Linked DNA regions of Drosophila melanogaster. The protein of the gene in region 2 purifies or fractionates together with the protein of the main gene of each other region. This does not show direct contact. Each region holds a gene or a part of one and is shown on either strand. Other genes may lie near its edges. The genes, in order: CG4849, Prp8 and Brr2.

What was found.
Region 1: the proteins of Prp8 (region 2) and CG4849 purify together in Drosophila melanogaster (affinity purification with western blotting; 2 studies listed by BioGRID, with this or other methods). This does not show direct contact.
Region 3: the proteins of Prp8 (region 2) and Brr2 purify together in Drosophila melanogaster (affinity purification with western blotting; 2 studies listed by BioGRID, with this or other methods). This does not show direct contact.

What each region holds. Positions count from the first base shown.
Region 1 is NT_033777.3:27,959,234-27,968,966, reverse strand, and holds CG4849 (uncharacterized protein), read right to left. Parts: upstream 5,553-9,733; 5' UTR 5,414-5,552; intron 5,288-5,413; 5' UTR 5,280-5,287; coding exon 5,166-5,279; intron 5,106-5,165; coding exon 4,437-5,105; intron 4,379-4,436; coding exon 4,287-4,378; intron 4,228-4,286; coding exon 4,036-4,227; intron 3,983-4,035; coding exon 2,480-3,982; intron 2,415-2,479; coding exon 2,057-2,414; 3' UTR 2,009-2,056; downstream 1-2,008. Other genes in the region: betaTub97EF (beta-Tubulin at 97EF), read left to right, coding at 1-40, 1,376-1,698, 1,766-1,861; CG31131 (uncharacterized protein), read left to right, coding at 5,787-6,926; CG31253 (uncharacterized protein), read left to right, coding at 8,433-9,572.
Region 2 is NT_033778.4:12,157,705-12,166,220, forward strand, and holds the start of Prp8 (pre-mRNA processing factor 8), read right to left. Parts: upstream 5,295-8,516; 5' UTR 5,181-5,294; intron 5,008-5,180; 5' UTR 4,990-5,007; coding exon 4,376-4,989; intron 4,320-4,375; coding exon 4,104-4,319; intron 4,044-4,103; coding exon 3,831-4,043; intron 3,769-3,830; coding exon 3,643-3,768; intron 3,600-3,642; exon of another isoform or gene 3,422-3,599; intron 3,363-3,421; coding exon 2,943-3,362; intron 2,885-2,942; coding exon 2,667-2,884; intron 2,610-2,666; coding exon 1,558-2,609; intron 1,496-1,557; coding exon 1,303-1,495; intron 1,267-1,302; exon of another isoform or gene 1,168-1,266; intron 1,080-1,167; coding exon 506-1,079; intron 440-505; coding exon 289-439; intron 228-288; coding exon 51-227; intron 1-50. Other genes in the region: CG13177 (uncharacterized protein), read left to right, coding at 6,088-6,096, 6,158-6,217, 6,280-6,483; CG34232 (uncharacterized protein), read right to left, coding at 7,418-7,807.
Region 3 is NT_037436.4:15,960,385-15,972,245, forward strand, and holds Brr2 (Brr2 U5 snRNP complex subunit), read right to left. Parts: upstream 7,489-11,861; 5' UTR 7,369-7,488; coding exon 7,324-7,368; intron 7,228-7,323; coding exon 6,532-7,227; intron 6,475-6,531; coding exon 1,731-6,474; intron 1,667-1,730; coding exon 1,492-1,666; intron 1,437-1,491; coding exon 1,154-1,436; intron 1,096-1,153; coding exon 610-1,095; 3' UTR 452-609; downstream 1-451. Other genes in the region: CG17032 (uncharacterized protein), read left to right, coding at 1-124; CG10516 (uncharacterized protein), read left to right, coding at 7,986-8,309, 8,615-9,176, 9,242-9,384; brm (brahma), read right to left, coding at 9,993-10,849, 10,910-11,701, 11,775-11,861. UniProt on the Drosophila melanogaster protein: Catalyzes the ATP-dependent unwinding of U4/U6 RNA duplices, an essential step in the assembly of a catalytically active spliceosome. Plays a role in pre-mRNA splicing.

The DNA.
Region 1 (9,733 bases), on a different chromosome or scaffold from region 2:
CGGCACGGACGCTACCTCACCGTGGCCTGCATCTTCCGGGGTGAGTCCTGCCGTTTGATGAATGAAACCACCGGGGTGGGAAAAGAAAAATAGTTATTTAACAAGAAGCCCTAAACACTTTCACGCGTAGCCAGAAAACACAGGGATCCATTCATTCATCCATCCGCTCATTTATTCAGGAGCCCCCACACCGGCTTATCCCAGTCAACTTTGTCACTTTGTCATGGGCAGTCGGCGGCGCACCTGTCCGCCGCTTTTCCGGACCCGCAGGCACGTAGTCGAGCCATCAGGGGCGGATCAAGGGATCCGCAAGGAGCGGTTTTTAGAATAAGAAAAAAATTGAAAGGCTGAAAACTAAGCAATTACCAAAACTAGTGGTAGTATTACCAAACCAAACCAAAGGACTGTCTGACAAGGAAGACATCGTATAGATAGAGATCTGAGCCGCATCTGCAGGACACCCCCTTAGAATAGAACGACACAGCCGCCCCTGGCCAACACCTTGGACTCCTGGGGCTTGGCTTTGGCGACGATTTTATTAGCGAAAGCCGAGCACTGGGCCTACTACTTATGGGCGCCACTAAAAATGATTAATGCCCGCTGGCTGGCGGCTAAAAAGGCTGCAATCCGTCAACGCGCACGTAGCGCAAATTTGTTAGCCATGGCATCGTGGCATGCCGCCCTCGCCACGCCCACCGAAAAGGTTGCTTCGCATTTTTTTTTTTTCGCGCTAATTCCTAAATTAATAAACTGCGATGCGGCGCCCAAAAGTGTGCCGCATAATATTTCATTTGCTATTCCTTGTGTGCGCTCGCGCCGCTTTGGCCCCTTTGCTTTTGACTGATGACTCGCAAAACGCGCGTAATTAGAAATTTACTTTCAAGATCCATTGGGGAATTGCGACCGCCGCCTGACACGGCCCCCAGGCCCAACTAATCATGCCGAACGTGACTTGGCCTGCACTGCGTTCCAGCGCACCCGCACTCAAGCTTAGCCCAGGTTCAGCCCAGATCCGGCGTCACCATCTCAGGATTCGTTATCGTCTCCGACCGACTGCCAGAAATACTTGCAAAATAATTAATCACAAAAATGTGCGGAAAAAATGCCAGCGAGCAGGAATTTAAACAACTTTTTTAGTTACCTCCTGGGACTTTTTCACTGTTTCCATTCCCAAGCTCCGAGCTGAGATCCCAGTGCAGGTGCCCGGCCAGGTGCGCAGGCAGAACTTGGAAGCCATTTAGTATTTCATATTCAGGGATTTGGGGATTCCGCCGGCGCATCAAAGCGAACTTGTCTTTTGATGTAAATGTTTAAATGCGCACAGGAAGATTGTACGAAGGCAATTTTGTTTCAACGCTCTCTCAATAATTAACAGGACCCATGTCCATGAAGGAGGTGGACACGCAGATGTACAACGTGCAGAGCAAGAACAGCAGCTACTTTGTCGAATGGATTCCCAACAACGTCAAGGTGGCCGTCTGCGACATCCCGCCCCGTGGGCTCAAGATGTCCGCCACCTTCATTGGCAACTCGACCGCCATCCAGGAGATCTTTAAGCGCATCTCCGAGCAGTTCACTGCCATGTTCCGGCGCAAGGCCTTCTTGCACTGGTACACCGGCGAGGGCATGGACGAGATGGAGTTCACCGAGGCCGAGAGCAACATGAACGATCTGATATCCGAGTACCAACAGTACCAGGTTAGCGATCCCTCCATATCCTTGCAAAGTATCTCTAAAAACGATTTCCATTGGTTTCCTCCTTTAGGAGGCTACCGCCGACGACGAAGTGGAGTTCGATGACGAGCAGGCCGAGCAGGAAGGCTACGAGTCGGAGGTCCTGCAGAACGGCAATGGCGAGTAAAGTCCTAGAAACTATCACAACTGTAGCTGTTTTCTGTATACTATTTTGTAAATTATTTGTCCCGAAAAGGCTTCAAATAAATATTTAGTAAATATAGTAAAAAAAAACACTACTCCCTTTAAAGTTCGCAATTGAAATTCGGAAAGTATGTCTAAATGTTTTATTTGTTTTCCCGATTCCTGATTTGTGGGAAGTCTAAAGCGGGTAGTTGATCAGCACATCCTGGCGTGCCAACTCCAGCAACATAGGATCGTCGAAGAATTTGTTGATGGACACGTCCTCGGACAGACCCTTCCTGCGACGCGTCTTGATCATAAACTCTCTGGCCAAATGGGATGCTTGCTGCGGCTCCAGTGGCCGGATTATGATGCTCTTGTCCAGGGGATCGCCAGGCACTATCTGCCAGTGATGGAACACCGAAAGGCAGAAGGCCTGGCCCTGGGTGTGCGTGCGGAGATCCGTCTCAAATCCAAATGAATCAATGGCGGGTATGAAGGCTTTGATCGTATATATGGGAGAACCCGATACGGGAGCATCCTGCGTTACGTGGCCTCTGCAAAATAGATTATATAAAATTTAGAGGCATTCTCTTACGGAAACATGAGCAGCAAAACTTACCTGCGCCTGGCCAGCACAGTATAGACAGCGGATACACAATCTGCCGGCGCCTGAACCTCCACAAATAGATATGGTTCCATTAAACGTGGGGTGGCCATCAAAAACGCCGAGTATGCCACACGACGGGCTGTTGGAATGATCTGTCCACCGCCTCGATGCAACGCCTCGTTGGCGATGACGCCATCGAGAATCTTAAACTTGACATTACGGATTGGCTCCTCGCACAGCGGCCCTTCTCGCGTTCCCCATTGGAAGCCCTGCACAATCGAATCCTTAACCGCGGTCAGCAGGTTCTTGTCCACTTCCGAGGGCAGGGTGTCGTCGACCAGGATATTTGGACCCGTGGAGTCGGGACCGAAGGCCCAAATGGAACGCGCCGCAAGCAGATCCCAATCGTAGTTGACTTGGAAGAACTCGCCGATGCGCTTTTTGTTCCAGTTTATGCAGACGGTTCCGTTCTCAATGTCCTCGGCCAGTCCCTTCTCCAGTGGCTCCGAGATCATGGTTATTTTGTTTTTCTTATTCGGCGTTTCGGCGAAACATTTCAGGGAACTCGTTTCCACAACTGTTTCGCAAAAAGCCACGACGGGATCCGCCACTTTGATGTCGATCTCGGAGTACATCTTCCGCAGATCGTGCATGACACAATCCAAGTACAGCTCGCCAGTGCCCAGAATAACATGCTCGCCGGATTCTTCAACTCGAGTGGAGAGAAGTGGATAGGATTTATTCACCTTGCGGAGGCCATCCAACATCTTGGGAAGCTCGGATGGATTCACTGGCTCCACAGCAATCTTGATAATGCTCTGGGTGTTGAACTTCAGTGGTCGGAATATGTAGAGGTCTTCTGGAACATTAATATCCACAATTGTGGAGGTCTTAACGATACACTGATCGATGCCTTCGATGAGCACCCAATTTCCGGCGGGTACACGATTTAACTCCACCTTGTAACGAGACTCAAATACCCACAGACGACCGACTTGCAGAATGCGAGAGTCCTCCTCATCCTGCAAGGTGTAGTTCTCTCCCAGGACACGCACCTCCTGGCCAGCGTGTAGAGTACCAGAGACAATCCTCGCCAGCACTTGGAAGAAGGTACAGTCGTCGTTGGGATACATCTTGGAACTGTGCACCATCAGAGTGCCGTATTGGTTGCATGATATCATATCCCGGTAAATGTCACCCTCTTTGGGTCCAGTGTATATATGGTCCACCTTTCGCTTGGCATTTTCCAAAGGGGATTTAATGTGCTCCACGCACATATCCACAAAACCGCTGCAGTCGCCCATGAAGCGGTTACAGACGAGACGCAGCAGTGGTCTTATATTGGACTTCATCTCCTCCTTGGAGACGCGCACATTCAGCTCGGCCAGAGTGTCCGACAAAGTGGTGTCCACATCGCCAACCACCTGGGCTATCAGCTTGTACATGGGCTCCAAAATGAACTCCACAAAGCTGCGCTGTGCCGAATTGTGCGGCTGCTTCTTCGAGAACTTGCGCCTATTAAAATAGTTGGTATTAGCAAATGATTTGGATATTTAGGCAGCACTTACGTTTTACTGTTGAAGTACATGTCACCCCAGAGCCGCTTGGCAAAGTCCAGGTAAGCCACTCCCTCATAGGTGTCTGCATACAGCTTGGCAAAGGATTTCAGAGTGAAACAAAATCCGTACAACGAGCTGGCGAAGCACACGTTGCCCAAAATAGGCGAAACTAAGAGATTGTCATCTGGAGCGCCATAGGTGCTGTAAGAAAATTACACATTAGTAAAATCATTAGTGTTGAGTATGAATCACGTAATCACCTCAGCAGCCCATTGACTTCCTCCACAATGTGTTTCAACTTAAAGTAGGCGTCCTGGGGCGGCAATTTCAGCTCCAGGATGAGGCGATCAATCTGCACGTCAGAGGAAACCATTAGAAAGTTTAGTGTCACCTTAAGGCCAAACCCTCACCTTGTTTATGCAAACGGTGATAGCCTGGCGCTCTTGCACCGCGTGCTTGAGCAGTCGCTCCGTGTTGAGCATGACGCCCTCGGCGGCATCGATGAACAGCACGACACCATCGCTCATTCGCATGGCGGCGGTGGCCTCGTCCGAGAAGTTGACATGCCCCGGGGTGTCGAAGATGTTCAGCAAGTAGCTCTTCTGTTTGACATCCTGCAGGACAAGTGTGACCGGCGTGGCCTTGATGCTGCAGCCGCGTTCCTGTTCCGTGAACAGGGTGTCCGTGTAGCGCAACTGGCGCTCCTCCATGGTCTCAAATTGCGGATGCGTCTGCCGGATGAGGCAGTCGACAAAGGTGGTCTTGCCGTGGTGCAGGTGGCCAACCAAAGCCACGTTGCGAATAAGCGGCGGAGTGTCCATGAGATCGGCCATGAACTCCATGTCGTAGGTGGTCTCCTGCATGTCTTGCTCCTTGATCTGGAACTTGAGCTTCTTCACTGGCTCTATAAGCGGCTTGTCCAGCGGCTGGGCGTCCTCCTCCTGGACAATGGTCTCCACATCCGGGCCGTAGACCTCAACTGCTGACGGATAGTAGCGTTTGTCCTCGTGCAAAACCACGGCGGTCACCTCCTTGTCCTCGTCCTCCTGTGGCTCCACCTCGTCCTCGTCCATGGCGTCCTTTAAATGAAACACCATAAATTAATTATAAGTTTTATTTTATTTTTTGCACGTTTATACCTCTGGGTCATCCTGCACATCGGGTTGCCCATAAATACTTTGCTCATCTTCCTCGTCGCTGTCTAAATCGGGGCCAATATAGTTGCCAAACTCATCGTACAAATCGGAATCCATGGTTTTTCCTAAAATAAATATATATATCAATACTTTCATTCAAAATTTGCCGGTGGCGTCTTAGAAAATTTAAAACTTTCACGGTGACTCGAAACTTATGCTACTCTTGTTTTTTGTTGTTTTTACCGACTTACCAATTGTTACAGGACCTTCTGATTGCTAAATTCTTCTTTAAAACGTAAGAAAACTGCAAATAATATAATTATTCACAATTTTTACACAAAAACGCGGACTGCAAACACGCTGTTCTTCTTCTTCCCCGAAAAACACTCAGCTGTTAAGCGGCCGGCATTACCTACGGCATTGCCAGCACAAATAAAGTAAGCGCTTGCAGCCCTGGCGGCAACATTTGAATTTTCCAGTTCATTAGGGCTAATTAACGTTTTTGCCAAGAAAGCAGGTAGCTAAAATACGCGTTGAAACGTAGGTAGACCCTTGCGTTTATATTGCACTGCAGTCGCCAAAGGTAATTAGTCGAAAGTGTCAACCGAAGGTATCAGCATCATAATGAGAAAATTCTGTTTGCTTCTTTTAATGGCGCATTTTGTGGCCTCAAGCCGAAATTTAAACGATATTCTCGGTCGCGAGGAGTGGATTAGCATAGCCAAGGAATACATCAAGAACCACAAGCCTTACAAAGCCAAAATCTACACACCCTACAAGCCGCGCATCGTAAATTTTACCAATCCGTTCGATGGAGATTTTTGGGACACAACTACGGTGGCCACCAATCCGCAGGAGACTACTGGCTACTTCACTGGGGAAGTATCTACTACAACGGAGAAAAGTGCCACTGAGGAATCTACAACTACGGCGGTGGATTATTCAACCACCGAATCTAGTTATGTAACTTCAACCACGGATACTTTATATTCCACGACAACAGCTTGGCCGGAAGTCACCAGCACAGATGCTATAGATGCCACTGAATCAGTAGCCCTATATTCCACAACAACTTCGAGTCCAGAAGCTGCAGATTCAACGACAGAAAGCAATTCAGACAGTACTGAATATGCTGAATCAACGTTAATTTATCCAGATTTATCTACAGGATGGCAAGAAACTACTACAGAAACCATTCAGAGCTCTACAGGATTGCAGGAATCAACAACAACAGAGTTTATGCCAAGTACTACGGAATTTCCGGAATCAACGACTACTTTAAGTTCTGAATTTTCAGAGAAAGAACTAATAAAAACTACCACAGAAATAGAAATCAATCCAAGCACTACAGAATTGCCGGAATCAACGACTGAATCTGCTGATTCTACCACAGAACCGAACGAATCCACGTTTGCATTATCCACAGATCAAACTACAACTGAAACAGCAGAAACTTCAACAGAAGAATTGTTTTCAACCACAGAAACCCAGGAATCTACTACATCCTTGCTGGAAATCATTGCCACGACTCCGGGCGTGGAAACTACCACGTCGTATCTGGATGCAGTGATTGACAGCACCGAAGAGGAAAGTTCTACATTATCAACACCATTTGGATTTAATTTAACAACAACGGAAATAGTAGAAACTCAAGTAGAAACCACAACACCAAGGCAATTGAATTTCGTCGAAGATTACGTTCGCCAGAGACCGAGAAAATTGAAGTACTCTTCGGACACGGAGCCGGAACTTTACTGGTACTGAAAATGATTGCAAATAAAAATTAAGAGTTTGATTAAAAATTTTTAGAAGCAAAAATTAAGAGTTTTAATTTAAATAAAAACGTAAAGCAATTGGCAACGCGATTTAAGCTATGGCTTATTTTAAACTAAGAAACGCGGTCACACTGGCCAAAAGCCAAACACATTGTTGTTTGATTTTTCAGCAGAAATTTTTTATTTTTTATTAGTTTATATCGTAAACATGAGTTTGTCCAGCATAAAACAGAAAGAAGCTAAGGGCAAAAAGAAATTGCTGCCCAAACTGCGCAATATTCTAGCCAATCCTTACAAACAGCACAGGTGAGGCGGGCAGAAACCAATAAAAACCCAATCAACAGGTTGTTTCTTTTGACTTTAGCCCTCTTTTATCGGAGGAGGAAGTGCAGCAGTTCCGTCAGATCCTTCAGAATGCAATTAAAAGCAGCGACGGGCAGACCAAATCGTTTGCCACTCGATACGGAATACATCTCGGCCTGGAGAGCTCCCTACGCGCCATAAACTCGCGGCGTTTCTCCTGCCTATTGGTTTCCTTGAGCCTGCGACCAACTCACCTCGTCCGTCTAATGGCCACCAGTGCATCTGTCAAGATGCCCACGTGCTCCTTGATCTGGAACTTGAGCTTCTTCACTGGCTCTATAAGCGGCTTGTCCAGCGGCTGGGCGTCCTCCTCCTGGACAATGGTCTCCACATCCGGGCCGTAGACCTCAACTGCTGACGGATAGTAGCGTTTGTCCTCGTGCAAAACCACGGCGGTCACCTCCTTGTCCTCGTCCTCCTGTGGCTCCACCTCGTCCTCGTCCATGGCGTCCTTTAAATGAAACACCATAAATTAATTATAAGTTTTATTTTATTTTTTGCACGTTTATACCTCTGGGTCATCCTGCACATCGGGTTGCCCATAAATACTTTGCTCATCTTCCTCGTCGCTGTCTAAATCGGGGCCAATATAGTTGCCAAACTCATCGTACAAATCGGAATCCATGGTTTTTCCTAAAATAAATATATATATCAATACTTTCATTCAAAATTTGCCGGTGGCGTCTTAGAAAATTTAAAACTTTCACGGTGACTCGAAACTTATGCTACTCTTGTTTTTTGTTGTTTTTACCGACTTACCAATTGTTACAGGACCTTCTGATTGCTAAATTCTTCTTTAAAACGTAAGAAAACTGCAAATAATATAATTATTCACAATTTTTACACAAAAACGCGGACTGCAAACACGCTGTTCTTCTTCTTCCCCGAAAAACACTCAGCTGTTAAGCGGCCGGCATTACCTACGGCATTGCCAGCACAAATAAAGTAAGCGCTTGCAGCCCTGGCGGCAACATTTGAATTTTCCAGTTCATTAGGGCTAATTAACGTTTTTGCCAAGAAAGCAGGTAGCTAAAATACGCGTTGAAACGTAGGTAGACCCTTGCGTTTATATTGCACTGCAGTCGCCAAAGGTAATTAGTCGAAAGTGTCAACCGAAGGTATCAGCATCATAATGAGAAAATTCTGTTTGCTTCTTTTAATGGCGCATTTTGTGGCCTCAAGCCGAAATTTAAACGATATTCTCGGTCGCGAGGAGTGGATTAGCATAGCCAAGGAATACATCAAGAACCACAAGCCTTACAAAGCCAAAATCTACACACCCTACAAGCCGCGCATCGTAAATTTTACCAATCCGTTCGATGGAGATTTTTGGGACACAACTACGGTGGCCACCAATCCGCAGGAGACTACTGGCTACTTCACTGGGGAAGTATCTACTACAACGGAGAAAAGTGCCACTGAGGAATCTACAACTACGGCGGTGGATTATTCAACCACCGAATCTAGTTATGTAACTTCAACCACGGATACTTTATATTCCACGACAACAGCTTGGCCGGAAGTCACCAGCACAGATGCTATAGATGCCACTGAATCAGTAGCCCTATATTCCACAACAACTTCGAGTCCAGAAGCTGCAGATTCAACGACAGAAAGCAATTCAGACAGTACTGAATATGCTGAATCAACGTTAATTTATCCAGATTTATCTACAGGATGGCAAGAAACTACTACAGAAACCATTCAGAGCTCTACAGGATTGCAGGAATCAACAACAACAGAGTTTATGCCAAGTACTACGGAATTTCCGGAATCAACGACTACTTTAAGTTCTGAATTTTCAGAGAAAGAACTAATAAAAACTACCACAGAAATAGAAATCAATCCAAGCACTACAGAATTGCCGGAATCAACGACTGAATCTGCTGATTCTACCACAGAACCGAACGAATCCACGTTTGCATTATCCACAGATCAAACTACAACTGAAACAGCAGAAACTTCAACAGAAGAATTGTTTTCAACCACAGAAACCCAGGAATCTACTACATCCTTGCTGGAAATCATTGCCACGACTCCGGGCGTGGAAACTACCACGTCGTATCTGGATGCAGTGATTGACAGCACCGAAGAGGAAAGTTCTACATTATCAACACCATTTGGATTTAATTTAACAACAACGGAAATAGTAGAAACTCAAGTAGAAACCACAACACCAAGGCAATTGAATTTCGTCGAAGATTACGTTCGCCAGAGACCGAGAAAATTGAAGTACTCTTCGGACACGGAGCCGGAACTTTACTGGTACTGAAAATGATTGCAAATAAAAATTAAGAGTTTGATTAAAAATTTTTAGAAGCAAAAATTAAGAGTTTTAATTTAAATAAAAACGTAAAGCAATTGGCAACGCGATTTAAGCTATGGCTTATTTTAAACTAAGAAACGCGGTCACACTGGCCAAAAGCCAAACAC
Region 2 (8,516 bases):
ATGGGTTTTACTTATAAATCTTAACAATATATTCCTTGCTTATAAACTACCTTTGTGAACGTAGTGGACCCAGAGGCCATCAGGATCTGTCGAACACGATTATGGAAACGACCCAATGACTCATCGTCCACACGCAGGAAGCACTGGGCAGTACGTTCCTTGGTGATTTCGTTCTGTAAATTCCAAACACCATCACGATGGGTGAACTCTTCATTCTGAGTGCGACACTGTGGGGATAAAACGATGAATTATAAACTGATCTTAAATTGAATTTGTGGCTAAAGGAACCTTTGGCAAAATGCGACACTCAAATCCACTCATGTTGAACAACAGATTGGGGTTGTCCTTCGAATACACCGAAACGAAAGTGCTCTCCCAACCAATGGTGGTCACAGAGCGAGGTAGTCGGTTCTTAATGTCCCAGAAGACTGCGCGACCCCTGTAAAACAAAAGAAATTCATCGTTACGCGCTTTCAAAGTGGTTGTTGAGTAAATGGAGACTTACAAGTTAACATCGTGCTTCATTAAACGCATACGAGCGTCGCGTGGCCAGCACTTCTTGTTATTGTAGCCCACAATGTTTTCGTTGTTCGGATCCGGATGCTCGGTAAGATAGCGCTGGATCAGATCGCGAGCCTCCTCCGCTGAGAATCTGAAGAACAAGTGAATACGATCGACATAGCGGCAGTACAATCGAATAGGATGTGCCGTTTCTGTGACTGTGTCCTGGAACGTGAGGAAATCGTTCGGCATTTGGGGTGGGCCAGCCATCTCGCTGGATCGATGAAGACCCAAAACCAAGAGATCTAGCACCAGTCCATAGTACTGTGTGATGAACGATGAGAACTGCAGACCGCGAATGATGCCGTAGCTGTTCGTGTGGTTCATGTCCTTGTAGTTGATCACAACGTTGTTCTTGGCCGTCATGTAATCGGCGATATTATGATCGACAATCAGGCGGAGCAAACGATTAAGCAGCGTCAAGTCAATTTTCTCGTACAGCTTTTCAAATCTAGACTCCAGCAGCACATTGCACTCGCCCTCACCCACATCCCAAACATCCTGCAGATTGTTAATGCCTGTTGAGGAGAAAAATACGAATAAGCTAAGCCAGAGATAGTATCAAAGGGGTTCTATATTCCTTTTTTTTCCATACCACTGTGTATTTCGCAGATCATCTTTGGCGTGAGGTTTGCAACAAGGGGATGATCAAATACATATCACTTTGCTACAAATCACACACCCAAAATGCCCGGTACCGCCGTCAACTATGTTCTTTTGAAACCAGTTCCAACTTTATACCTTGACACCACTTGTAGGCCAACAATGGTGGCGGCTCCGTGTCGCTGGGCTTGATCCATGGCGGGAACAATCGACGCTTGTCAGCCTCATACCACAGATACTGATCCAAATATGCGTCTGTAATCTTTTCCAGGGGTTCCACTTCGTAGACTGGAATCAGATGGCTGTACAAGTCCATGAACTCAATGCCCACCTAAGATAGTAATACAAGTCTTAAAGTTATTTCAAATACAGATAGAAATAGTGATAACTAACCTCCTTGAAGGCTCGCTGCGTGAGCAGATGACGCTTGATGCGGGACAACGCCTCGTGAGGATTATCGTAGGCCTGTTCGATGAGGCCCAGCTCCTCACGCTGACTTTGATTCAGCCTGGACTTAACGCTATACGCCTCTTTTAGCCTCTCAAGGGCCAATATTAGCAGCTTGGTATCGTGTTTGTATGAAAGTGGTGGGAAGGGAATGGGCGCAAAGCGACGTGATTCCAGCCAATGGACCGTGGTTGTGTAAATAGCCACAGCCTCCTCCGGTGATATGTACGGACCGTCCTTTAAGTAGTTGTGCTGCCTCTCCTGCTCCGCCTTCAGATAGAGTCGCGTTAGTCGCCCCAGATTCTTCTTGCACACCGTCTTATCGACGGTTGCTCCACGTCGTATACGTTCCCGATTATAGTGAGCCGTGTTTGTCCACCAGTCGGCTTTCATTTTCACGTAACGCAGGATCATATTCTCAATGGGAATGGGTAGACCAGGCACCTTCCACGGAATGTTCGCTTTCCAGCAACGCCATGCCTCCGATAAATGCTGCAAAATGGTACGAGCTTTGTTCTGCTTGATGCCCTCGGGCATCATGTCCACAATATCGTGCATCACGGAGGCACGCAACTCCAGATCAAAGTGGGACTCAACACGCTGCTTAGTCACCGTCTTGGCCACACCCTTGGAGTGACGACCCTCGAACTGACGCGACAATAGATTGCCCAGCCAGCGTTCCAGTAGCGGAGTGATGCCGCGCATAAAGAACAGCCAGACTCGCCATCCAGGTGCCCAAAAGCCACATCCGGGTCCCTTGCCCACGGGCCCCGTGTTGAAGCGATAGTATATCAAATGTTTCAGATCCTTACACATTCGAATCTGCCTCATCAGCTTGTATTTATAGCGATACATGCCAGTCAGCTGGCCAACATGGGCGAATATGTACTGCAGTCCGTCAGCCAACTGAAAGGCGTCCACATTGTTTAGCCGATACTGAACATGAGAGTCAATGATTAGCTTGGTCAGACGCAGGATCTCACGGCACAAATGGAAAGCTAATAGGAATGAAAGGAATTGATAAAAGGGAAATTTTTAGAAATTTAACTGCTTACCATTTCCGAATCGCGACTTCTTACGCTCCTTGGTGGTCAGAGTTTTAACGGGCTTCAAGTTGAAATTGTAATCTAAATGCAAGTAGTTAAGATTTTTTCGGTGAATCAATAGATTCAACATGTTATATCCCTGACGACAAACTTGCAGTCCAGCCTCAACCCAATCCAGAGTTGTGGTCTGGAAGAATTTTGTGGCCTTAAACGAACGGAAGAGGTAGCTGCAAAGTAAGGATACAATTCAAAACGTTTCTATAGTTTGATTTAAATAAAACTCACCGTTTCTTTTGTGGCTTTGGTTTGCGGTGTTTTAGGGCATTGAGCACATAGTATTTGAGCAGTTTCTGGTAGCTAACGCGCACCTTAACCGGATGGCCAGGTGGACAATGCTCCTTGTACCAGCACTTGACCAGCGGCACATCGATGGCACGACGGGAGCGACCAGAGCGCATGTTAAAGGGGCGGGGTGCCCACAGCAAGGCGATTCCGTTTGCAGTGTTGTCAGTGTACAGGGGAGTGTCCTGCAGGAACGGCTGCACGTCGTCCGGAAGAGTAAAGTCCTCGTCGTCATCAGGTAGGGGCTCCTGAATCTTCGAGTTTGCATTGCGATGGGATATGGGATTGATGAGCGGATCAAAGTAAAATGCAGGCAGATCGGGATCTTCGGTCTTGATGTAGACCACGTTGGGAGTGTGATACCTGAAATAGACAAAGTACATCATGTGGTCATGTGGATCCTCTAAGCTACAAATGAGTTTATATGTATGCAACTATCAGCAGTCACGATTAATTCTTAACAATCGCCACGAACATATTCATTGCAGCTCCCGTTTTATCGCAAATTTGGCAGTAACCTGGGAGCTCGTCGTTTTTCTAACGCGGCATGAAGCATTTCCAGAGAGGCTGATCACTTGGAAACGTTTCTAACCACGTAAATAAGATTTTAGAATGGTAATTTTTGAAGAATGTGGACTCTTACCAGCTCAAATGCACAAAGTGTGGCATATTGTTGTACAAGTAAGGAAAGGCAATGCGGTATTCCGTGCGAATTGGCTGCCGGATAATGACTTTGTTAATGTCATTGAACTCGTTCCAATCCTCGTCCCTAAAATTAAATAAAAGCAGGAATTACATTTTAACAAGTATTTAGGGTATGCATTGTCTTACCCAACATTGTGGTCCTTAATGAGGGGTTCAAACTTAGGTCCTCCTGGAATGGCCATATTAAGAGCCTTGGCGGTGAAGAAACTTTTTGGGTCAAACAAATAAAAGAAGTTATTGTCGACTAGATCGGTGAGCAATTGATTGGCCAATCGATACAGCGTGGCTAGCTGAGGCAGGGAAAGATTCCACTTTCGGTAGGTAGTGCCGTTCACAAACCTTAGATGGTAATAAATGAATCAAAACAAGATCAGATATAAATGACAAATCAAAACTCACTGTGTATCCACTAGAGGACGATGGTCATAAAACCATTTGTATACAGCATTGTCTTCGTCATTGTCCAGCTCAATTTGAATGGCCTCCAAGGGCTCCACGTCCAGCACGTTGTCGGCATAGTCTAGAGGCGGCTCTTCATCGTCAAATGGCGGGAATCTCATGCGCTTAAAGTGGCGACGATCGCGTTTCTCACGCCGCATCATGATCCACATTGTACTGCGGAAGTGTTTAACGTCAGTTGTGTCCACGAGGACAAGTTAAAGTCAACTTACCCCCATTGTGCTATGTAGACGGGCTCAATAACCCAGGGAATCTCATTGACAAAGGTAATGGCTCCAGTGATGTGGTACAGCACCTGGACATCCCGGATCTGCTCCCATGGCATTGGCATGTTCTCTAGCAGCTTGAGCACAGCATGTGGCATGTACTTCAGGGCGCCGAGATATACTCGCTTGTCATGACGATACTTGCGCGACGTCATATCTCCGTGATCGCGAATGATCTTCCTGATGTGCTCCGGCGGCATATCCTCCTTCTGGGTATCCACGAAGCCAAACTTGCGCTTCTCAGCGAATCGCTTGGACTGCAGATGCTGCCATTTAAGCGCCTTCTCCTGCAGCTTCTCCTCGGTGAGTATGTCCGGCTTGGGCGTGGGAATCTGGCCCAATCCGGGTCCCTGACCTCCCACCGGGATGGGTATACCGTTGGTATGGCCACCGGCCGGCGGCAGCGGAGCCCCCGGTGGCGGAATCTGCTGAATTTGGTTGGCCATCTGCTGCTGGGCGTGCAGTTGAGCCTGCTGAGCATGGGCAGCCGCGTAGGCCTGCTGGGCCATCAGCTGGGCTGCCCACGCATTTTGTGGTATCATGTACGGCGGAATGGACATCGTTCCGCGGCACTTATCCTAATCAATAAACGACGAAAAACATACACTTTACGACACACAGACACGTTTTGTTTCAGGGGGAGAAATCGAAATGCCGCCGCCGACGTCGCGGTCTTTTGCAATTTTCACCACGCTGTGAAAAAGCGTAAATTTCGCTTTTCCCCCAGCTAATCTTGGTTTGAATATCTTACCTGGCAGTTAATTTGCAACTGTACTGCCTATTTGGCACTTTTTCTGCCTTTCTTTGGCCGCAATTCACAATTTTTCCGGTTCGCAAAACGAGAGGTTTACTTTTTCATGCGGCAGCCATTTATAGAATAGTAGAACGGTCACATCACTCAATCGATAAGACATCTATCGTCTATCGAGAGATTAGGTGAATTGCTAAACAGTCTAGTGGTAAAAAGCAGTCAAGATAACCACACAAAGTGCGAGCAAATTTGAAAATTTAAATAACGGTGTTATTGGGGAATATATTACAAATTCACCAAAACTGCGACGACTAAAACTAATTAGCCTTATTCACTTAAATTACTTTGTATTGTAGTAGTAAAAAATATCGAGACATTAGCATTTTTAATTAAGGCTAAATCCTTGTAATTAAATCAATGAATCAGCTCGTCAACAAATGTGTTAATATTAATAATTAGGAACTTAATTAGTGTAGTGCGTCAATATTATTGTTGATGACTGGTAAAAATAAGAACACACAGTCGACTTTAGCTAACAACAAACCGAATAAATAAAACACTAAATAACTTTTTCTTTGGCCATTAACTAATGCTCACTGTAGCTTAGAAATTCAAATAACCGAATTGGAAGATCCCATCGAGTCATCTGTGATAATGAAACACCTCATTTCGCATCGGGTAACGACATCCCCAGACTCCCGAATGTTTGTCCAATCAATGATCATGTGCAAAATCGATCCCCGGGACGTTTTGGGCCACTATAAATATTGTCGGCAGGTCGCTGGGGATCACAGTTTACGGACAACAACGCTTCTGGCCAGAACACGATCGGGAAAAGTTGCTAATTTGAGAGAAAAACATAAAATCTAGAGTGCATCCCCGTTAAATTTCGCAAATAAAAGCAACAATGGCAAAGGTATTACACACAAACAAAAAGTGTTTCTATCATAATGAGTAAATGTTGTGAACATTTTCAGTTATTTTCCATCCTTTTGTGCCTGGCTATTATCGGATTCATCAGCGCAGCTCCTATAGAGGTAGGTCATATCTTTAGTTTTTCCATTTCAAAACCAACCAACAAAATCCATTCGCTTGGCAGGACAAGAAACCCGCTGAGGAGGCTGATCTCTCCACCGCGGACTCCATTGGCTACGGCTACTATGCAGCTCCATCGCCAATTTACTACGGCGGCTATGGAGGTGGCTACAAGTACGGCGGATATTCCGGTTACGGCGGCTACGGCGGATATCGCTCCTACGGAGGCGGATTCTATCGTCCCCGAATTTACCCAGTTTGGGGATAATACTATGATGCCAGACCGAAAAACGTTCCTTAAGCAAGAAGTTTCAGACATATGGACATACGTTCCTTAATCCACAAAATCCTATGTAATCGCACTAGTGACCAAAGAAGTTATACAAGCAAGCCCCCCAGTTTTGAAATTTTAACCCTTTCACTGTCTTGCAACGACGAGTTGATGACGTCAGCGGCAGTTTTTGACCCCAGAGCACAATTAACACCGGCTTTATTGCAATAAAAACAAAACAAAAACAAAAAACACTTTACGTACGACTACGCTCGCATGTGTGGTTTATTATTTTCAAATTTCAATTGTCCAAAACCGGATTTCTTTTTTGTTTTTTGAACTTCCAAAGAAATTGAGGCGGCTAACGTAACATACATAAGCCGGCCAGCAAAATTCCGAGTTGGCCAAGTCGAGTAATTACACACATCTGAACCTTTAGTTGGACCTATCTTTAACGATCCACATGGCCAAATTTCAGGCCATAAACGGGGTCACAAGAAAGCTGGTCTATACAATGGATATCAGCCAGAAGTTTATATAGTATATAACTCTTTGTAAAATTTCAAAAGAAAACCATACTATAGAAGTTAGTTATTGCGGCCATAAACTATTTAAAACTCATAATTCTCTGAAATACTACCTGTTTTTCAACTTAAAATCCAAGTTAAATGCATTTCCTACATCAAGTGTTCCAAATTATTAAAAGTTGAAGCTGCTTGTGGATATTAATATCATTTATGAAATGTGTGTTTATTTGGTCATGGCTTATATTTCACAGTAGTTTTGTAAACATTTAAATAGATTGGCTTTACTGTTGCCATACATGCAATTATACGAGTGTTTACTGTATTCGGAGTTTAATCCTCGCATAAGGAATCCATTGGCTAGAGTTTAAATAGAATATATCCTGGCCACAGGATACAGGATTATCCTAGTGGCGACGCGATCCCGTGTGCCGCTTGTGATGCTGCTTGCTGCCCTTGGAATGCGATCGGGATTTGCGGGTGTGGTTGTCCTGCTGCTGGCGGTGCTCCTTCTGGTGGTGACTCTTCTTGTGGCCCGGCTCCTTGTGGCTCTGCCTGGCCTTTCGCTCAGAGTGATGCGCTTGATGCTCCTTAACGTGGGAACCACCATGTTTCAGACTATCATGGCCCGAATGCCTCACCTCCTGGAGCTTTTGGTGGTGGTGGTGGTGCTGTTGCGACAACTGGCGCTTGTGGTTCAGATGATGGGTTCGCTCATTGTCCTCCAGTGGCTGCATGGCCATGGCCACGGCCACCAAGATAGTGGCAAAAACGATAATCTGCAGCGGGCCAAACATCCGGAGTAATCAAGGTGAATCGATGGGTATTGATAGTAAATTAAATTGAAGCCACTTTCATATCTGAACCGGCGATTAGATTAGGTCCGCCCCTTGGAACCACACACTCACCGCCTTCAACATGATAGCTTCGGTATAGGATATGGACTTCAATGCCTTCTTCTTCTTCTGTTTCTGCGATGCAAAGCTCTCGGATCGTGTAAACCCGGCGACGCTCCAGTCTCGACTGTTTTTCGGAGACTCTTCCGCCGCCGTTTATATCGTTATCTCCTCATGCGAGTGCCCACAGCCCACAGCCCCTGGCCACCATATCACATAGATGGGGTATATATGTAAATATATTCGGCATGTTTTATCGTTCATTTAATGGGCAGACAGACAGACGCACAGTGGAGTGAACAGCTGTTGAATGATTTTCGGGCCAAGATTAGCTGGGAAAGTACTCAAACCTCACAGTTCTTTTCAAAAATATTACCCAAAACTTTACAATTTAATCGGAAAGAGTAGTCAACTTGAGATACTATCTATCAGGCTCATCAAATCATAGATACAGATACAAAGCATAACTCTCTGTAAGTTACTATATATGGATTGGTTAATATTCTTTAGAAATGTAGCTATGCTTTTGAATCATTGAAGCCAAAAGTGCAATAATTACATTTAAAGCTTAATGTGATCATGACACTTTGATTTTTAAACTGGCTCTTCA
Region 3 (11,861 bases), on a different chromosome or scaffold from region 2:
GCTGAGTCAGGTTTACCATCTTCCCAATGGACAGACAATAAACTTTAGCTCCACGAACAGCTTCGCTAATGGAGGAGCCAATCGTGGCAGTAGCCATGGATCGGCAGTTTCTGTCAGCCGCTAAAAGCCAAGTTCACCATACAGGGAAAATACCTCCAAGTTAATCTATTTGTCAGCAATCCTATGTGCAAATATCTAAAAAATCCAAATAAATATTTATGATTGAATTGAATTTGAATGAATAATTTGAATGATTTTTTTAAAATCTAAACGGTTGCATTTTGATGATCCAGATTACAAATTACAACAAACTTGAATTGTTCCATACGAAATTTAAAAGCTTAAGACAATATAAGAATTGGCACTGTTGACTACAAAATATTTAGATTCTTGGTATCAACCAGCGAAAGAAAGTTGAAAGGTTTTTTTTATTTTGTTTTTTTTTTTTTTTGTACTACTTTATATAATTATCCTCAGTGTATCCTTGTACAATTTGGTTTCTACTAAAGTAGTACACGAATTTATTATTGCTACAATTAATGCGCGTAAATTGTAAAATGATTGATTTTCATTTGTGCAAACATGCCCAACTGATGATCCTAAAGAAAACTAATCTGACTCGCTTTCGCTTTCCGACTGGAAGTCACCCACTTCGATGGAAAACTTGTACTCCTGATCACAACCCAAATAGGAATCGCTCATGTAGTACAGAGTGTAGTCGTGTTTGCCCGGACTAGGTGCCACAAAGTCCAGCTTGACCTTTGCCTTTTGCTGCAGCGTGAGCCGTTTGATGGAGAGCAGGGAGTTGGTCTTGGGATCACCTATGACGACCCACCATCCTTCTTCGCGCTTCTGCGGGAAGAATGGAGCAATGACTGGGCCAGTGACCTCATCCTCACGTTCCAGTTGAACCACTACATTAACGGTTGATCCTGAGTTGATGCGATCCTTGTCCACCACCTCATAGTTCAGCTCAATGTTGGGGTAACGGTTGCAGAATCGAGCAACATCGGCCATTTGTAAATCGGAGAGCTGCAGCAGGCGAGTGCGATCCTCGTCCTCCAATTCCATGATATCGAAAACGGTTTCGATTTTCTGAAATATACGACGAAACATGAGATAATCCTAGAGATTCACTTGTTGTTACTCTCACCTTCTCTGTGCACCGCTTGACAATCTCGGGACTAAAGTGCGGCAACTGTTTCAAGTACGAGTCCTTGCTCCACATGGCCTGCGTGACCATCTGAGCCAGCTCCATGGCAGCCACAGCCGGCGACAGCCAGCCATTTGAACTCAGCACATCTACGCAGGCCTGAATGAGGCGGATGGCCTTGCTCAGTATCTGCTCCGTATCGCCTTGCAGTTCAGGTCCCAGTTGCAATCGCGAAAGATGAGCCTGAAGCAGCAAATTGGTCTTGATGTGCGGATCATTGAATCTAAAAATAACATTGGTAAAATTCTTTTTAAGATCTAAATGTATGGGTTGCTTACTTTGGAGCCGTTTCATTGGGTCCTGTGAGTTTGTTGGGCAGTCGCTGAGACAGCGTGCGCAGAACCTGCTCCTCATGATGCCTGACCACAACATCCTCGTACTCAGCTGCCGATGAAATAATTTCCAGCAGGCCCCGCACTTTTGTTTTGCTGTTGAGGGACAAACTGAAGAGCTCTGGGAAAAAATGATAGGAAAATGAAGATGACAATTGCCTAAACTTAAATCTAATGCTTCATACCGATAGTTGTGTAGTTGATGTAATAGTAGGCAGCAATCATGCCCAGATTGAGTGGCAGCGTGTCCATATCATCCTCCACGCTAATACACTTGGACTGTTCTAGATCGCTCAGCGTATTCTCCACCAACTCCGAAAGATGGTCGGAGAGATGGCGATGCGTGACACCCTGCAGATTGTAGTAGTTGGGATTTTGGGTCAATCGTCTGTAGAGGAACGTCCAGGTGAGATAATCAACGGCATCCTGTTTGTTCTCAATTGTCTTGGTGACCACCTCGGCGTTAAAGTGATCATGCATTCTATGATCCAAATGACTTTCGATGGGCAGCGGCTCGTTGATGAATTTCTTAAAGAAGTCCTTCTTGCTGCTCTGGCACATCAGCACGCATTTGGCATCCGCATCCTCGTTCGGCCGATTGGCTCGACCAATCATTTGCAGCACGTCTGTAATGGGATAGTCCTCATACGAATGATTCTTGCCATTGTAAAATTGTGTGTCCATGATGATCACCAAGTGAGCGGAGATGCTCATGCCCCAGCAAAGGTCTCTGGAGATAACAGCTACTTGCACGGCGCCAGAGTCAAACAGCTGCTCCACCAGGCGATGATCTGAGGCGGATAGGCCCTCATGGAGATAGGCCACTCCTTGCGCTAGGGTCTCCTTCAAAGTTTTATCCGTCATTCGTTCGAGGAACGGCTTGATGTCCTCCTCCTCAGCATGGAAAAAACGGTTGGGTTGCAAATCCGATGCTGCGTAGGTCAAAACATCAATTGCAGTGAGCCTGGCCTGCTTTCTGGACGAGACAAACACAATCACCGGCTTGTGGGCGCTGTACTTGAGGATGGCATTGTAAACAGGCTTGGACATCGTAGCAATTCTGGTGGCGTTGTGAGTGACATTATAGCCCTGGATGTGCAGCTCCAACGGAATGGGACGCACGCTGGGGTGGAAATTGAAAGTGGCATTGGGATTACAGCCCAGCCACTGGGCGACATCCCTGGCATCCGTTAGCGATGCAGACAACGCCACTATTCTGATCTGTTTCTCAATCTGCGAGCTAATGTATCGCATCCTGGAGCATACAATTTCCAAAACGGGACCTTCTTCGCCACCAACCAACTGCAGTTCGTCCACAATGAACAGGTTCACCAATTGTACGTTCTTCCTCTGTTTCCATCTGCGAGACAACACATCCCACTTATCCGCAGTAGTGATCACCAGCTGTCCCTTGGCTATGAGCTTAAGATCGGTTCCAGTTTCGCCGGTCAATTTAACCACTTTTATGTCCAGGGATCCAAATTTGCTATGCCAATCCGCAAAAACTAAGTCCGCCAATGCCTCCTCCGAGACCAAATATACACATCGGGCATCGGATTGGGTAGTGAACAAGCGCATGATGGCAAACTCTGCAATAGTCATCTTTCCGGATCCGGTTGGTGCTCCAACAAAGACATTCTCATCACTATTGTAGACTGCGTTGAAGACCTGTGTCTGAATGGGATTGAATTGCGGGAAGCGTTGCGAATAAAAGGATTCAAACTTCGGCTGCCGGAGTGCACTAATAGGAAGCGGTTGGAGATCCAAAAGCTCCGTAGGTGGCATATTCTTCTCGGGCAGAATCAAGTGTCGGAAAGAAACTGGTAATTGGGTCTCTGCACCTATCCAACGATCTGAGACAATGCGAAGGAAGTACTGCGGTGGCAGAGGTTCAAAGACAGGCACAAAGAACTTAAGCTGGTGCTCATCTTGGGAATACTTCTGCTTCAGCAGGAAAAACTCATGATGGAGAATGAGTTCCGAGTCGACATCTTCAATTAAAACCCAGAAACCTTCCGACTGGCCATGCACCTTTTCATCCCATTGGAAATCCGGTGTAATTGTTAGTTCCACTCTCAGAGTTCCCCTTGTTATGGGTTGAATGTGCGTGGAGAGCTCCAATTTGGGGAACTGGTGCACAAACTTGTGGATGGTCTTTCCTAGCTTGGGCACTCTAATCAGCTCACCAAGTTCATGTGGCTCTAGATCGTAAAGCCTGCCCCAGGGGAAGTGTTTTTTCTCCAGCTTCTTGGCAATCTCATCGGGCATCTTCTTGAACTGCCTAAGTGGTGTCATCGATTGCCACATTCTTCTGTCGATCATCTTGCAGAGCGTCAACGTTTTGTCCGCCAATTGAGCCCATCCGCGGGTCAATACAATCTCAAAAATGGCTCTCATTAAACGGGCAGCGGATTGGGTAATAAACACCATGTCCGACATCAATGCAAAGCCCTCCAGTTTCAACTGGGAGATATAGGCTTGCAGCAAAACATTCACCTTGGCACTGTGCTCTTCAATGGACTCCTTAATGGGAATGGGCACTCGTTCCATGAGCTTCTGCAGCTCCAACTTTTCCTCTTCTCGGACGGAAATATGCCGGAATTCCGAGGATAGGGAGAATACGCGGAACAACTCAATCTCACTAAGAGTTTGCTTAAGGAGCTGGTTGTAAGTCAGCATGGTTTCATGGGTTAGGTAATAGTGAGAGGCAATGCGTCCCAGATCAGTAACCTGAAAGTGTCCCGTCTTCCGATCGTATTTAATAAGGCCACTTCTCTCCAGACAGCAAGCTGCGGTATGCAGGAGATCAGCACGATGCTGTTCCAACAGAGGATCAGCCTTGATGGCATCATGGGAAACTCCGTACAACGTGGGATTCCTCAGCATTCTAATGTACAGATAAGTGTAGCCCAACCAGTTAACTGCATCCTGGAGATGTTGGACCGTTCCTAGCACAATCTCCGCATTGAGCATGTCAGGAAGCTTGGAGATGAATTGGGACTCAATCGGCAACTGCTGGTTGAGCAAGGAGAGATAGAACTGCAACTCACTGTGATTGGTTATAAGAATACCCTCACCCTTGGTATCATACTGCGGTCGTCCAGCACGACCCAACATCTGCAGTACATCCAAAGCACTCAGCTCCACCCAACGTCCTTTTTCCGGATTGTATACCTGCGTGCCCTTGATGATTACAGTATGGGCAGGGAGATTGACACCCCAAGCTAGCGTGGCGGTGGAAACCAAAACTTGAATGTGCCGATCAGCAAATAGATCTTCCACCAAAGTACGATCGACGCGGGTCATTCCAGCATGATGAATGGCGAAGCCGTAGGGCAATAACTCCTTAAGCTCTGTGTTCTTTACTTGTTCGGCTTCAGTCCGCAGCACTTCCATGCTTGCTGATCCTTCCTTAAGAAAGCTACCAAGGGTATCCTGCTCCAGGCACATGTCCCTCACAGCCCTGGCCGTTTTTCCAGTCTCCTTGCGCGAGTGTACGAAGACCAGGACCTGATTACGCCCAGCATGCTCCATGGTCTTCTCATAAACGATCTCGTTCATCACCTGGAATCGCTTTAGGGCCTTCTTCTCCGTCACACCGATATACTGCTGCTCCAGGGACACAGGCCGATAGCTGTTATCAAAGTAGAAGAGGCCTTTATCGGGCTTTACGCGTAGGAAGGTGGCCACGTCCTGATAGTTGGGCAGTGTGGCAGATAAGCCCACCAATCGCACCTCCTCCTGGGTAGTTTCAATATTCCTTATCGTACGCGCCACCAGGGCCTCAAGCACCGGACCACGCTCGTCGTGGAGCAAGTGAATCTCATCGATGATAACCAACCGGACTAAGCTCACAAAGGTACGCTCGCCTCCCTTTCGAGTGATGATATCCCACTTCTCTGGTGTGCACACAATCACCTGCGTGGCGGCGATCTGTTCCCTGGTCAGCTGGTGATCTCCAGTCAACTCAGAGACCGTCAGATTATAGCAAGCAAGACGTCGTCCAAAATTGCCAACCATTTCCTGCACCAGCGATTTCATGGGAGCCACGTAAATGATTTTGAAATCCTGCGCATTGATGGTGCCATCCTCGTTGATGTGCTTTCCAATCTCCCGCATCATGGTTAGCAGTGCCACATTAGTTTTACCAGCTCCAGTAGGGGCGCACAGCAGCATATTCTCATCACTGTCCAGTGCGGCCTTGTACAAACGACTTTGGATACGATTAAGGGTCTTGAAACCCTCGAACACAGGCTGCACATATTTCGGAAGCTTGTCCACAGGCTGAAGTTCCTCATTGGCATCAAATGGCACGGGTTTCAGTGCAGGCACGTGCACCTCCTCGTAGCCCTTTCGTTGTTTCCTGTAGGAGCCGTCGGGAAGCTGACAGCGCTTGTTGGCCATAAAGTGAGATCCTTGAGTGAATGCCATCTCTTCCAACTCGAGTAGCTGTCGCACACCGGCCACCTGCCCGGCAGCCGCCGCTCCACCATCCTCTGCATCGCCTTTGCCACGCTTGCTTCCCCGTGCTTCGCCCTCCTCCTGATCCTCTGACTTTCCCGTATCCAATTGCCGAAGGATTTTGGCCAACGCAGAATTTCCGCGCATCTTCTCGCGAATCCTTTGCCGCTCGCTGTCCGTTTGGGCCGAGGCGAGCATGGTGCAGTACAGGACCATCTGCCGGTTAAGCTTCAATTGCTTAATGAAGTCAAAGCAATCGTAGCCCAGCAGAAGCACCAATTGATTTTCGCAATCGCGATCGTCGGCGGCATCTTTGAGGATCTTCAACACATCGGCGGCTTTGCTTTGCGACACCATGGCGTCCTTGTAGAACTTGCTCAGACAACGCTGCAACCAATACGCATCTATGTCCAGAGGATGCAAGGAGCGCTCTTTCTTTACATTATTTGCGGCTTCCTCGTTGGCTAGCTGGGAAGGGATACACGAATAAGAAATGGGATTCGCAATTTTAACTACATTACTCACATTCTCTGCATGCAGTGTGTGATCAATGCGGGCCTCCTCTCCTTCATCCTGGGCATCATCGTCGCGAATCTCGCCATACATGTCGTTGTCGCTCTCCTCTTCGGATTCCTCAAACTGAACATTGATGCCGTAGGTTTCATCGATCTGCTCCTCGTTGTTGGGAGCAGCAGTCAAAGCATTCACGGCATCGCTGCCAAAGTCTGTGATTTTTTTGCCCAGGTTAACCAGCAGAGCGAATCGCTCATCTGTAACTGCGCCCAGCAAGCTGTCTATATCCTTCTTTCGCTCCCGATCCTTTAAACGATCGTTCTTGAGGACAGCCAGAATCTCATCAGCGGCACCGCACAGGATATCCCTGGGCTGATCCCCCAGAGCCTCCTGGATGAAACTGAGCAGGACCTCGTAGGTCTGACGAGTTTCCTGGGTCTTGGGTCGATACACAATGCCCACCATCTCGTCAATGCCCTCGGAGAGCAGAGTGGCTCCCTTCATCCGCTCGAAATCGTACTGGGCCTCGTCGCGCTTCTGACGTTTCACCTTGCGCTCCTCCGTTTTCTCCGGCTTCGTTCGCTGGTACCGATCTCCCATCCTTGTTCCGTCCAGCTTTCCCACCAGGGAACACACCTCGCCAGTGGCCTCATCGCGGCGCGGACGTTCGATGAGTCGGACATCGGCTTGCAGCACAAGATTGGAGTTCTGAAAAATGGAAAATACATTTAACGTGTTTGTGAAATTCTGGTGAGACGCCGCATGGAGTGGGAGAAGTTTTCCCGGGCGGGATTTGACACTTACCGCCTTGTACTCGTATTGCAGCTGACGTGCTGCGGCATCCGCCATGTCTGTTTAGTTGTTTTTATAAGTATTAAGCACTTTTATTAACCTATTTTACAACTTTTTGCGGAAATATCGTAGTGAAAAGCCGCTGTTTGTGGCTACGCGTGCTGCCAGATTGTCAAAAGGCTAAAGAGATGCCATATGTGCGAAGCCAACTGAAAATCGATATCAGGGCTGCCATTTGTAGGAAACCTATCGTTAGCGCGCGCATCTAAGTTTTTAAAAATGTAGCCCATCAACATTCTATTTAAAATTTGAATACTGGTTTTTTAGCTTTTGTAAACACCAAAATTTCCTACGCACTAGCAATCCACAAAAGAAATTGCTATAAATTTGACCATAATTCTCATAATTGAGATATATCTAGTATATTTTAAGTTCCGAACTGCGGCTTCGGTCACACTGGCGGCGACGTCGGCAGCGATGCCGACGTCTATTTACAACGCATCGTTTTGTTTATTGTTCAGTCAGATCAGAGTAATGTGCTTATATATGAGGCTGCAGCTGGTTTAACTGGAAACATTTGTGGTCCGTCGACTGCTCGAGATCATTGTACACGGCTGACACAATTCATTACAAAGCAATCGAAGGTAAACCAGTGAAGAGGAACAAGTGCCAGCATGCTGCTGCCCCCGTACCAAGAAGCCTGCAATCCCGGCTTCTGTGATTGCCCGTTTCCCAACTCCATTGAGGTTACCAACCACAAGGGCCATATACCCGACCTGGTCAGGTGCCAATGCGGCGAGGATGAGTCCGGAAACGTGAATGCCTGGCGGTGGCACGCCACTGATGAATCGGATGCCGTGGTCACCGACCGGGACATCATCTTCCATCCCACCTACAGTCAGGGCACGGCGATTGTGAGAGGGGAACAGGCCCTAAAAACAAACATGGTGCACTTTTGGGAGATGCGCGTCATCACGACTCTGGCCGGCACGGATGTGGTTAGTTATCAGGCCGGCTTGGCAACTAGTTGGGATGCTCAGCATGATGAATGTCACTCAAAGTCGCCGCCTTAAAATAGAACACAACTAACCAGGCATCTGGTGTGCTCGTTTCCATTGGAGACGACTTGATTGTTCGCTTCGTTGTATTATGGATTACAGATTACAACGCGGCGATAAGATAACAGACGCAGCGGGAGGAGGAAATCTCAGCAGACACCCCAACTAGATGATAAGCCAGCTAAAGTTCAATGTAAATAATGTTCTCTTTATAATTGCCTTTCTTTTCTTATAACTTTTCCTAGATGTTCGGCATCGGCACGGAAAGCGTTAATCTAGGGCAGTTCAAGTTTCACTTTGTCTCGGCCCTGGGCACCAATGCCCAGTCCTGGGGCTTTTCGTATTCCGGAAGGATTCAGCACTGTGGCGAGTTACTGCCCTACGGCCAGAAGTTCTCGCAGGGCTGCTTGATTGGTGTCTGTTTGGATCGAACGCGTGGGCACTTGGAGTTCTATTTGAACCGCAGATCGCTGGGAGTGGCCTACACCAATGTCCCGACGGATCCGGATGTCAAAATATATCCCATGGTCTGCTCCACAGCCGCGAAGTCCGTAATTAGGCTGATCAACTGCACTTCGCAACCAGTCACACTGCAGCTGCGATCTTTCCAAGCATTGTCCAGGCAGCCGCTCAAATTGGCCGAACTGCGTCAAATGCCGGGTCTCAAAGGCATCATGCAATCCTACTGGTTCCTGGCACCGCCAATTCGTTACTCCCGGAACTCCCGCGAAAACGAATTGGATCTGGGCGACGAAGCAGTGCTCTCAAGCTCCAAGCAACGGTTGAGGCGCAAACAAAAGTACCGAGGTGAGGTCACGAAGTTACGTCCACTATCATTTCTGCCACATCACTTTTGCAATTTCAATTAATAGAAACCGACGATGCGGCTGTTGATGAGGACGACTTGTACGCCAATGCACACAAAATCACGTTGCGAAGCAGTGATAGCGGCGACGAGGAGCACACCGCTAGTGTCCACGAGATGTGCGACGAGTACTTCCACTACCTGCTTTAGTCTTACCAAGCATATCAATATGTTTAAGTATGCATTTATTTGAAGGAGCTTAGTTATAAATGTAATAAGTAGAAATGCTGAAGCTAATTTTAATTACTGTAAGACTTCCTAAAATACAACTTATTAATTAAACGAAACATCATAATTTTCCCATTTTGATATATTTAAAACCATTTCCTTTATACGCTAGCAGCGATGTATTCATTTAGGTACCGATTTAAATAAGATCTTTGTTACTAATTCCAGCCTGGTCTAGGTTGAACAATCTCTCAAGGAGCAATCCGCCGTCCATTAATGACAAGTTTTTCGATTTACTTTATGTTAGGTATGCATTTATTTTAAAGCACATAATTATACAATCAATAGAATTGGGAGAAATAAATGGTGTGTGCGAAAATAATTGAATAGGAAACTTAATCGAGAACCTACAACTAGAAAATTAGTATAGATAAAAGTGATAGCATGATAGGTTAGATGGTTAAAAAAACCCGTAGGCTAGGGTTTTGGTAAGCATCGTCCTTGAAAGTAAAACTTAAACTAATTAATAATCAATTGCCCATGCCTTCGACATCCGACGATCCGCGCTTGAAGATCACTCCCAACGGTAGCTAGTCCATGTCATCGTCGTCATCGTCTGAAATAGTGTACTTCTTTTGGGAGCGCTTGCGACGCGTCTGCTTCTTGGATGTGGTAGCCGCTCCGCTGCTCACATTCGACGATGATTGCGTGGGCGTAGCGGGCGCACTAGCCAGAGATTTGTTCAGTTTCAGCTTCATTTTGACAGCCGCCGCTGAAGTGGTTGCAATCTCCTCGTCGTCGGAGCCGTCATCGCCACCATCGTCGTCGTCGTTGTCCGAATTATCCGAACCTCCATTGCCGTGCGCTTCACCCGTGTTATCTCCGGCTGCCACTGCGGCTGCATCCGCTGCAGCTGTTATCCTCTGCCTGGCCCCAACGAATACCTTTTGCAGGGCAATCGAGTCCAGGTAAATCAGAGACGCCTCTTCGTTGTAGATCTGTGCATTCTGGCATAGCTGCATAAAGTCCTTCTCCAGCTCGTTGAGATCGGCATACTTGCAGTCCTCAATGCGCTGCAGGATTTTCTTAATATCAACTGGCCGCTTAATGATCTCGTAGTAGTCGGGCAACCTCTGCCGCGAAGGCAACTTCATGAACGGTTCGGACAGGGTTCGTCCATCTTGGTTGTGCTTGATAACCGCACTCATAATCTTGTGCATCTGCTTCTTGGACCGCTTGTCCAGATTTTGGCGTCGTCGCCGTTTTAGGATCAACGAATCATCGTCGGACTCTTCCTTCCGATTCTTACGCTTTCGTCGCTTGCGCTTCGAATCGTCTTCCTCCTCTTCCTCGTCGAACTCAGCGCCATCGTCGATGGCTTTCAGCCACTCCTTTTCAGTCAAACTATCGGTGTAGTCTACTTCCTTTCGCTGCCGGGAGCCTCGACCTAAGGCGGAATAGTTATCGTAAGAAAAATGTTTAAATAACAGCGAGCAGTGTAACTCACCTAGAATGGTATCCTCGTCGTACTGATAGTGGAAACGCTCTACTTCGTCATCATCCTTTGTCAACCAGTCGGGTAGCTCGGACTCATCGATCAGACGTTCCCTACCCGGATGGATCTCCTCATCCTCCTTCTTGCGCTCAGCATCCATGCGCTTAAATATTTCAATCTCCTCCTCGCTGCGGGCGATCATCATGTTGATCATTTCGTCATCGGGCACCTCATTTTCCTCCTCCTCTTCGTTGTCATCCTGGTGCAGAATCGTTTGTAGGAACTGCTGTCGCTCGCTACCCGTTGACTTCTGATCGAACATACCAGCCTGGATGACCTTCTCGTCCATGTTCAGCTTGTACCTGGCTGCTGCCAAGATGCGCTCTTCCACCGAGTTGACTGTCATTAGTCGCAGGACGCGCACCTCGTTACGTTGACCAATACGATGGGCACGATCCTGGGCTTGCAGATCCTGATGGGGATTCCAATCGGAGTCGAAGATTACTACAGTATCGGCGGTCTGCAGATTAAGACCCAAACCACCAGCTCGGGTAGATAGCAAAAAGACAAATACATCCGAGCCTTTGGCGTTGAATTTTCGCAGTAGTTCGCCACGATCCTCGGCCTTCGTGGTACCGTCGAGTCGAAGGTAGCCGAATTGGCGCCATCCCAGGTAGTCTTCGATGATGGTCATGCATTGGGTCATCTGACAGAAGAGCAGCACGCGATGATTGGTCGCCTTCAGCTTGGGCAGGATGCGATCAAGCAGCTCGAATTTGCCAGAGACACGATACAGATCCGGTCCTTTAATTTGAAAAAGATTAGATTATACCAATGTAAATATAAATATACCAAAAAATTAACAAGATAAACTTACCGGATACAACTCCGTGGCCGCCAGTGTGATCGCAGTACTTCTCTTCTATGTGCTGGAACATAAACGGATGGTTGCACAGCTTGCGCA